Linked DNA regions of Cricetulus griseus. The protein of the gene in region 3 interacts with the protein of the main gene of each other region in a biochemical or structural test. Links are inferred from orthologs where the notes say so. Each region holds a gene or a part of one and is shown on either strand. Other genes may lie near its edges.

Region 1 (3,196 bases), on a different chromosome or scaffold from region 3:
AACTTCTCAGATGCCAGCTCCTGCACACCACAGGCATGTCTGTGGCCCATCTTCTGTTTGATGAATATATTCAACTGTCAAATAAAAAACTAAACGTGGGCTGGAGAGATGGCTCAGAGGTTAAGAGCGCCGACTGCTCTTCCAGAGGTCCTGAGTTCAGTTCCCAGCAACCACATGGTGGCTCACAACCATCCGTTATGAGATCTGGTGCCCTCTTCTGGTGTGCACATATACATGGAAGCAGAATGTTGTATACATAATAAAATCTTAAAAAAAAAAAAAACTAAACGTGCAGTTCAGACATTGTGTCACAGCTGGAACTGAAATGCCCCAAAGCCTTCCAGTCACTAGGGCACACCACCAGTTACCCTGCTGTAATGCTAGTGTTTTCAGGGTGCTTCCGAACAACTGACCGGGAACTGAGTGAGTTGGTCCCACAAGGTGCTGTGACGAGTGTCATCTGTACCAAGGAAGGGCTCTGGGCCGAGCAGAGCACAGTGCATGCTCAGTGAATATGTGGATTTCAGGGTCCCACAATTTTTCTTATCTCACTTAAATATCAATTTGGTTTGTAAACAAACAAATGAACCTTTAAGCACTTTTAAAATCTTTATTCTCTTCCTTATTATAAAAATAATACATGTTCCTTATAGAAGTTTTACATTATAAAAAGTCCAAATCTAATACATTTCACTACACTCTTACCCGAGATGAGTGATTTTCTTACTACTCATTCATAAATATACAAAGTATTAAAAATGACAAAGTTTAAAAAAACAGGAAAATGTACACATACAATGAATTTAACAGAAAAAGAAGACAGAAAAATCACCCCGGGTCTTTTATGAAAATAGGAACTCACAAAATTGGGAAACGTGATTTCTTTCTCCTAAAGTACTTTGGGAACAAGGGCGGGGCAGGGCGGGGTGGGGCAGAGCACAGCTCAGCTGCAGCGGCCAGCATAGGACAGCTTTGACTCCACCTCCCACACCTTCATTTCCAAGGCTTTCAGGACATCTTCTATCTACCGATGGAAAGGGCATGAAGAAACACAAGTGCGCGTACGATTAATTAATCATAGGTTAATGATTAAAATAATCCATGCCATTTTGAATGTTTTGCATGACATAAAGATGCTAGGCCTAACAAAACTCTGTAGGGAAGTGACTCTAACTTGAATAAGGCATACTCATAATCTTACTAGCTTTAGTCACAACACAACAATGTTTAGTCAAGAACATTAGTATTTAGCAATGAGTCAAATGCCAGGCAAGCCAATCCGATTAAGGCCACAGGGTGGCATAGCAGGCAAAGGTAGTTGCTGCTGAGCCTGACCACCTTGGTTCACTCCAGAGACCTGACTGAGGAGCCAACAGGCTCTTCCAACCTCTAGCAAGCAAGCACAGGGTGCACACAGACCCCCAGACACAGTGCTAAACAATGTCAGTGTTGCTTTGCTCAAGGCTACGTTTCTGGTTTAGTGAGCAGTGTTTCCATCTCGGCATGGAAAGTGTTCAGGGTTCCATGGATACAGCATCAGCTCACGGCTCCACTCCCTAACGCCCGATGAGCACTCTTTCCCTGCCAAGTGCTAAAAGCAAAGCGCGTGACATCACAGGGTGGTGCAGCGGGGACATAAACTGAGAGTAAACTCACCTGCTTTATAGACTTCTCTATCTCAACTCTGCTTTCAAGATTGAAAAGCTCCTTGTCTTCCGGCACGATTTGCTTTTCAGAGGACCCTAAAGTGTAACTGAGATGCACTGCAGTGAGAGCTCAAGTATGAGAAGGAATTAGCACCAACGTCCCAGCAGCTAACCATGCCAGCTCTGAGTGCACGACTCCACGCCCCGGGTGTGAAGACAGCATTCTGTTGGTGGAGACCTGAAGACGCTGTAACACGTAACCTCACCCCTCACTAACGGTGCTGTCCAGATAACCCTACATATTCACTCTCGTCAGAAAAGTTTCACTGCTGCAAGAAGCCTCCTCTTTTGGGCGGGCAGGGGGCAGAGCGACATCACGGCCAAGGGCAAGCAGAGCAATTCTGAGAAACCAGCGTTTGCTTTATGTGACTTTCTAGAGACATGGGTGCTTCCAAGTTTCACTTCTTTGTTTTTTTTTTTGTTTCTCGAGACAGGTTTTCTCTGTAGCTTTGGAGCGTATCATGGCACTCGCTCCGGAGACCAGGCTGGCCTCGAACTCACAGAGATCCTCCTGCCTCTGCCTCCCGAGTGCTGGGATTAAAGGCGTGCACCACCAACGCCCGGCCTCCAAGTTTGACTTTTAACAAGCACTAATAATTATCAAGGGTTGGGCAGCCTCAGGGTTAACTACTTAGGGTTTAAGTAATTAAGAACCAACCCTTGCTGCTCCTGTAGGAGCTACGCTGGGTTCCCAGCACCCATGTGGCAGCTCACAAGCCTCCCTGACTCCAGGGAAGACAGTAAAGCGAGCTGAGACTCCATCTATCTGTCTCCTGACTGAGAAGCAGTGTGGCCCACTGCCTCAAGCTCCCCTTGACTGACTGGATCCTCAACGTACTGAGTCCGAATACACCATTCCTTCTTAAAGGAAAGCAGGTGGATCTCTAAGAGTTCAAGGCCAGCCTGAACTACACTGCAAGGTCCAGGCAAGTTATAGATACATAACGAGACCCTGTCTCAAAAAAACCTAAAGCAAAACTAGAAAAGAGGGTTCTGTTCCAACCCTACTGGATTAAAATGATTTGTATCTTCCATTTTGTAATTATCGGGTAGCCCAGTTGGCCTTAAACTCTAGACACCCCTTGCAGCCCCCCAGCCTCTAGGTGCTGAGGTCACAGGCGGGTCACCACACTTGGCTGAAACTCCTTCTCTTCTGTACACACCCACAACCTCAGGTCACTGCCACGAACCCTAGAGAGCATCTCACCGATTAAGGGAGCACGTGTCTGGAGCCTGGCCCTCTGCTCTATAACATGGAGCACCACCTGCTTAGTGGATTTTAAATTTTCTATTTAAACTTGGCTGGTTTTAAAAGATGCCAAATACAAAGTTATCAATTAATAACTGGATAAAATTACTGTTTTAAATTTTTTAAGGACAAGAATTTAAGATATTAAGGTGAGTGGTGGTGGCTCATGCCTTTATTCCCAGCACTCGGGAGGCAGAGGCAGGCGACCTCTGCGAGTTCTAGTACAGGCTCCAAAGCTACA
Region 2 (4,377 bases), on a different chromosome or scaffold from region 3:
GGCTTCCAAAGACAGCTGGGATACAGCAGACTCTTGTCTCAAAAAAACAAAAACAATGGGCTGGAGAGAGGCTCAGAGGTTAAGAGCACTGTCTGCTCTTCCAGAGGTCCTGAGTTCAATTCCCAGAACCCACATGATGGCTCACAACCATCTGTAATGAGATCTGGTGCCCTCCTCTGGCCTCCAGGGATACATGCAGGCAGAACACTGTACACATAATAAATAAAATCTTAAAAAAAAAAAAAAAACAAAGGTCATAATTTATGACAAAAATTAATTTCTGTACTGCCTCCGATCACTTGTACAGTCCATGGCGCCCTACCTTATAAAGAAAATTACTACTGTCCTTAAGATGTTTGGGGTTTTTCTGCTCCATGCTATAGAGTTAACATAATATAGCTTGTTGGGCCCTGGATCATGAACACTGGAGGACTTAAGGCATTTACTTCTAATATGTAAACAAATTGTATCTCCATTTCATTATATAGAACAAGGTCAATTAGATTTTAATTTTTTTTTTAAGATTTTATTTATTATGTATACAGTCTTCTGCTTGCTCGCCAGCAGAAGGTACCAGATCTCATTTAAGGTGCTTGTGAGCCACTATGTGGTTGCCGGGAATTGAACTCTGGACCTCAGGAAGAACAGTCAGTGTTCTTAACTACTGAGCCATCACTCCAGCCCCTAGATTTTAATTTCTATTCATTGTAATATTCCATCAATCTGGAAGACAACAAGTCATAATAGCAACAGGCAGTGAAGTGGAATATTTTCCCCTACTCTTTTTTGTTTGTTTGTTTTGTTTTTTGTTTTTTTCTGAGACAGGGTTTCTCTATGGCTTTGGAGCCTGTCCTCGAACTAGCTCTTGTAGACCAGGCTGGTCTCAAACTCAGATCCACCTGCCTCTGCCTCCCGAGTGCTGGGATTAAAGGCGTTCGACACCAATGCCCAGCCTTATTTATTTGTTTTTTTGAGACAGGGTTTCTCTGTAGCTTTGAAGGCTGTCCTGGAACTCACTCTGTAGACCAGCCTCTGCTTCCCGAGTACTGGGATTAAAGGTGTGTGCCACCACCACCTGGCTTACCAGGCTTTTAAAAAGAGATTTGGTGTAGGTTTCCATATATGAGAACCCAGCACTTGGGAGGGAGAGGTAGAACTGTAAAGTCAAGGCAAAATCATTATTTTTTGTGAAATTAAGATATTTTACATAGCTAAACATATTAAAAATGTCACTTCAGGAGCAGTGAGATGACTCAAGGGGTAAAGGCACTTGTTGCCAAGCCTGAGGAACTGAGATTAATTCTTGGGACCAGCATGGTGAAAAGAAAGACTCCTTCAAGTTGCCTTTGAACCTCAATATATATGCCAAGCCCCAAGACCCCCAACCATACTTACACACACACACACACACACACACACACACACACACACACACTGTTTATTTATGGTTTTTCAAGACAGAGTTTCTCTGTTGTAACAGCTCTGGCTGTCCTGGAACTCACTGTGTAGACCAGCCTGGCCTGGAACTCACAGAGATCCACCTGTCTCTCTCTACACACACACACACACACACACACACACACACACACACACACACACACACACACACACCACCTGCCAAGCACTGAGATTAAAGGCATAAACCACCAGGTGAGAAAGGACTCCTATAAGAATAGGAATGTGTCTTTCAGTTTGGCAAAGTGGAATAGAGGTATGGTTACAACTTAGTTTTGGCCTCATAAGCACAAATTTGCTGAGTACTTTATTGCTATGGGGAAAATATGGGAAGAGGCAAATTACTAGTAGTACTGAAACACCAAACATTCAATTGTGTTTCCCCAGTTTCAGAGATTATTACAGAATTAGTTCTGTTATGGTTTGTAATATAAACTCCAAGTTAAATTAAAATTTAAATAGTCCTAGTTATCTCACAGGATGTTTTAGTCCTCAGATGTTAAAACCTACACCCAACTCTAATTTTTCTTTCATTAATGCCTTGTTGACATGTTTCAAACGCATAAAAAATGTACCATCCAAATATATTGTATGGAGAGAATAAACTTTTGTCACAACAAAAATAAAGTTTTTTTTCTTGTTTACGACAACTACATAGTCCTCGGTGTCATTAAATAAGGAACTATAGATCCTTCTCAGGAATTCTCCGCACGTACCTGCATTTGAGAGAACCTTCAATGCCAACGAGACAGGGCTCTAATAAAACGACATTGTTCGTGACTCCTGAAAGACAAAAGGGTTTTGAATAGGAAAACCGCCCACCAGATTCATCCTGGTCATAAAAGTCAACAAAACGCGTGGGGCTCATCCAAAAGCGCAAGCTTAGCTCACGCGAGGTCGGTCCAAAGTTTGATTCCCAGCTCCGGAAAACAAAACCACGCCTCCCTCACCCAGCTCGTTTACGATCCCACAGGTCGGGATTACCCTTTCTCAGACGCCAACCCTCGCCTCACTCACTGGAGAAGGCCACGGTCCCGAGGGACCTCGACAGGTCCCAGGCGAGATGCACGGTGTCGGCGAGCACCGCGTGGCAATGCGCGCAGTGGAACACGGCGCACCTCTCCGGTTCCAGCCACGCAGGCAGCCGCAGGTCGACCGGTGACGTCTCCACCTCAGTCTCCGGAGGACCTAGAGGGGAAGACCCTGACACCACCTGAGTGTCCCACTCCATGGAGGTAGCAGCAGAAGGCGTGTCACAAGAGTCACTGCAGCACGGCGACTCGGGGGACGGGAGGAGGCGCCGCGAGCGAGCCATCATTCTGAAGCCGGCGCCTCTTTTTGTACGCTCGCGCCAGGTTCCACCGAAACGAAGTTTCCTGCATCCTCGTTGGACAACATGCCCGTAAGGCACGCCCACAAGCCGTCGAGCGCCGCGTATTCATTGGTTAGGCTTGCGCTATTGCGCGCTTCAGCAGCTCTATTGGCCAGCATCGGAAAACCCCACCCCCGAGGCGTTCAACCAATGGACGTGCAGCAGCCTCCATTTAAAATGAATATAAAAGTCGGCTTGTCAACGCCTTGGGTGGCGCCAGTTTTGAACGCTGCTGTTTGAGTCGCCTGGTTGTTTTTCTGGGTGTCGCCGGGATTGTAGAACGCGATGACCGTCCCCTCTGCAGAGGAGTTGGACTCTTTCAAGTACAGCGACCTGCAAAATTTAGCCAAACGGCTGGGCCTCCGGGCTAACCTGAGGGTACGGTGCTGGCTGGTGGTGCGGGCAGTTGGGTCGGCGGGGTAGAAGAGACCAGGGGTGTGGGGGTCACGGGGCGAAGGGACAGAGAGGGAACCCCCGGGGGACTCTGGTTTTGGGTGAGTAGGTTCGGCTCACGTTGGCTGGAATCTGTTAAACGAAAGAGAAGATATATCTGTTATTTTATTTGGAGGCAGGAACTCATAAAGGCCTCTTACTAGAAACTCTAATGATAGTTTCCTGCTGCCAGAAGGAAACACAGACCCATAAGACATAATCAATGTAATGTCTAATGCCTGTTATTAGAAAAAGTTGAATTGGCTCCTGGAAATTTCCCAAATTACTACTTTTAAGTAAACTGTGATAGTAGTACCTACAATCTTCTTGGGCCTTTATTTGGATGCCAAGCCATGGGGATATAGTATGATCGCTATAGTGATGGTGTTCTTTTTCAAAACCGGTTAGGACTTTTGCAAGGTGTTCAGAGAAAACGTCATTCATTGTGAGACTGGGGCTTGCTATGTTGGAGTTGAGATTTCCCACATGTGTACCCCGTAGATTTGTACAGCAAGCTGATATTTACACTAAATGTCTATTCAGTCATCACAAATATTTTTAAGTGATATAAACAGAATAATGAGACCATAGATGCTCCTCGAATCTGTCTGAATGGCAATGAAGAGTACTTGGAAATGTTTCTGAGTTACACAACTTTAATGAGTAAAGCTTAGGCCCTCAGGTATTTGCTATCTTGTGGATTTTTTGTTTGCTTTTCTTTTTTTCCCCAAGAGATTATTTTTTTATTAGTTCAAATTGGAAACAAGGCTGCTTCACATATCAATCCCCTCTCCCCTTCCCCCAGCCCCCACCTCATCCCCCTCTGCTCCCCAGGGAGGGTAAGGCCCTCCATGGGGGTTCCCCAAAGTCTGTCATATCATCCTGGGCAGGGCCTAGGCCCTCCCCCATGTGTCCAGGCTGAGAGAGCATTCCTCCATGTGGGATGGGCTCCCAAAGTCCCTTCTTACTGATTCACTACTAGGGGCCCCATAGAGTGCCAAGGCCTCCTCATTGACATCCATGTTCAGGGTTATGGATCAGTCCCGTGCTGGCCTCCTAGACACCAGTCTGGGGTCCATGTGCTTCCATCAGCCACTGAATGAGGGCTCTAGGATGGC
Region 3 (2,645 bases):
CAGGTGACCCTGTTTGGACACCCCTTGGGGTAGGGGGCGAGAAGACGAAGTACCAGACACGGGTACTGGGAGTGGGTAACAGAATGCTGTTAGGCCTGCCTTTATACCCCTCCCATTGGCTCAGGCAGCTGACTCTACTGCCTTGTCCTTTTCTCACTGGTGCCTCCGGTCAGGTGTCTCTTCCTCAGCAATCTCTGGGCCTAGAGGCAGGCTTGGCTCAGGGAGGAAGTGCCTGCCATGCATGCTCATGCAGGCTGGCCTGGGCACCTGAAGCTTGAGTAGACTGGCCGGCAGTTTCTCCTACAACCTTCCCGAGTTTTTCCTCCCAACAAATATGAGGTTTGTTGTACGGTGTGACTTTGTGGTACTGCTTGGCTCCATTCTGCCAGATTACCTTTCTGTCCAAGCTTTAACACATGCATTGGGAAAACCTTCCTCCTCAGAGCTTTAACACTTAGGATAACAAAATGCATTCTTTTCCTGATGAAATTTAAAAAAAAACTCTAGAAACATACTACACAAATTTAACATTTTATTTGAACAGTCTGAGCACAAAGGATAAATGAATATATAGTGTAACCTGAGGACAAATAACTTATTTCAAGCTTCTAAAGGCGCTATTGGAAAGGGAAAACCTGGTTATTATGACCTAGTAATTCCTTATAACGGTGGATCTATCAACTATACATGACACGGCTCAAGAATACAACAGAAGCTGTCCTCTGGTACCCTTCACAAAGTAATAAAGAGTAATGAATTAGAGATAGAGGTTTCACAAACAGACCAACTTATGGTAAATTTTAAGAAAAACTATTAGAAGAAAACATATAGAACATAAAAAAAAACAATTTGAATAACATAATTTAAATAGTCAACGAACTCTGGCTTATACCAGGTGGCAAGATACTACAAGTTTTCATTCAAGTATCCACCAATCCAAGCTCTTTAACTCCAGCCCCCTCTCTCCTGACTTCTATGTTTTTAAAAAGGTATTTAAAAACCTATTTAAGACATGATTACTATAGTACACAGACTTGGGTGTTTAAGAAACTTAAGCTTTACATACTTTCCTATTACAAAAATAAAATAAATACATACATAGGCAAAGAAGTTTTACTTGTGTTTTATTGCAACACTAAGGAATATTCTATAGGATGTTAACCTTGCACACAAATATAAGACATCTTTGGGAAACAAATCTGCATTCCCTTATTACAAGGACAATACCCATTCTTCAAATGACAATACAAGTATGCTCTGCTTGATGGTAAAAGTCCTACTATCAATCAGAATTTGAAAAGTAATAATCTTTCTCTTCTTCATCTGATTCTATGGCATCAACGAAATACTTTGAAATAGCAGTGTTATCACCTAAATCTGTAAAGACAAATTTTATGAAACAGATTAATATATTACTGGTAATTTTAATAGAACTGAAAGCAACTCCAATGAACTAAATGGTAAGTGTGTCTACTTGAGAACCAGTTAATTTTAACACCATCAAATAGAGATCCTATTGTAATAGAAATAAGGTACAAAATAAAGAAATGCAATACCTTTGTTAAACAGGGCTTTTCGTATTGGTGTTGGAGATGACAAATCATTTTCAACCTACAAAAGAGGGTGTGTTAGTAGCAAAATTGTATCTCTTGTGATAAGGGAGTTGACTAGACAGTACAGTCCTACATAAAATCATAAAATCAAGTATGCTTAATCCCCAGAGGACTGTAAACATAGGCCTGTTATATCACTTTCAGTCACTAAAGCAACCACATTCTTGAGTTTATGCAGAACAAAATCCATAACTTAGTTTCTCACCGTTGGCAAATATTTATACATGTAAGAAAATAAAAACTATTAAAAAAAGAAAGAAAATATAAACTAATGCTACAGAAGGCAAAGAATCGTCTATAGCCTATAAAAGTTGGCTCAATGTACTCAGTACTTATCTTGAATAGAATGTATTATTATCCCTGTGAGATTATATAAGACATCATTTACTTCTCATAACCACTCAGTAGCAGGCCATTTTCATTATCTAAATATGCATAAATTAGAAAAGTCTAGTCACTTGCTTAGTGTAATGAGGCCACTGATAATTAGACCTTGAAATGAGTACTTTGAACACAAAATTCTTGGCTTTTCCTACACTAACACACTGGCTACAAATACCAGACTATGAAAAGAATTAGGTAAATCACAATTTTATAAACTGCTTAATTTGAACACATTAAGAAAAACAATCAAATAGGCACAATGGTAGGTGCCTTTAATCCCAACACTTGGGTTGCAGAGGCAGGCAAGAGTTCTCTGAGTGTGAGGCCACTAGACTTACAAAGGGAGTTCCTGGACAGCCAGGGCTACACAGAGCTATGTAGTCCTACCATGTCTCAAAACAATAACAGCAAAAAAAAACAAAAAAAGGAAAGAGAAAGAAAAATGCAGTTTCTTTCTTTTTTGGGGAGTGGGGTGGGGTTTCGAGACAGGGTTTCTCTGTGTAGCTTTGGAGCCTATCCTTGCTCTGGAGACCAGGCTGACCTCGAACTCACAGAGATCAGCCTGCCTCTGCCTCCCGAGTGCTGGTATTAAAGTCGTGCGCCACCAACGCCCGGCTGAAAAATGCATTTCTAATAGGAAAGACCCAA

Evidence for each region.
Region 1: the proteins of Mis18bp1 (region 3) and Mis18a form a complex in vitro, tested with the Homo sapiens proteins (2 studies listed by BioGRID). The link is inferred for Cricetulus griseus from reciprocal best matches to the Homo sapiens genes MIS18BP1 and MIS18A.
Region 2: the proteins of Mis18bp1 (region 3) and Oip5 form a complex in vitro, tested with the Homo sapiens proteins (2 studies listed by BioGRID). The link is inferred for Cricetulus griseus from reciprocal best matches to the Homo sapiens genes MIS18BP1 and OIP5.

Annotation. Positions count from the first base shown.
Region 1 is NC_048597.1:7,020,464-7,023,659, reverse strand, and holds the end of Mis18a (protein Mis18-alpha), read right to left. Parts: intron 1,754-3,196; coding exon 1,657-1,753; intron 1,025-1,656; coding exon 944-1,024; 3' UTR 596-943; downstream 1-595. UniProt on the Homo sapiens protein: Required for recruitment of CENPA to centromeres and normal chromosome segregation during mitosis.
Region 2 is NC_048599.1:58,866,498-58,870,874, reverse strand, and holds the start of Oip5 (protein Mis18-beta), read right to left. Parts: upstream 2,857-4,377; 5' UTR 2,774-2,856; coding exon 2,473-2,773; intron 2,239-2,472; coding exon 2,172-2,238; intron 1-2,171. Other genes in the region: Nusap1 (nucleolar and spindle-associated protein 1), read left to right, coding at 3,113-3,205. UniProt on the Homo sapiens protein: Required for recruitment of CENPA to centromeres and normal chromosome segregation during mitosis.
Region 3 is NC_048598.1:137,938,889-137,941,533, reverse strand, and holds the end of Mis18bp1 (mis18-binding protein 1), read right to left. Parts: intron 1,612-2,645; coding exon 1,557-1,611; intron 1,378-1,556; coding exon 1,283-1,377; 3' UTR 513-1,282; downstream 1-512. UniProt on the Homo sapiens protein: Required for recruitment of CENPA to centromeres and normal chromosome segregation during mitosis.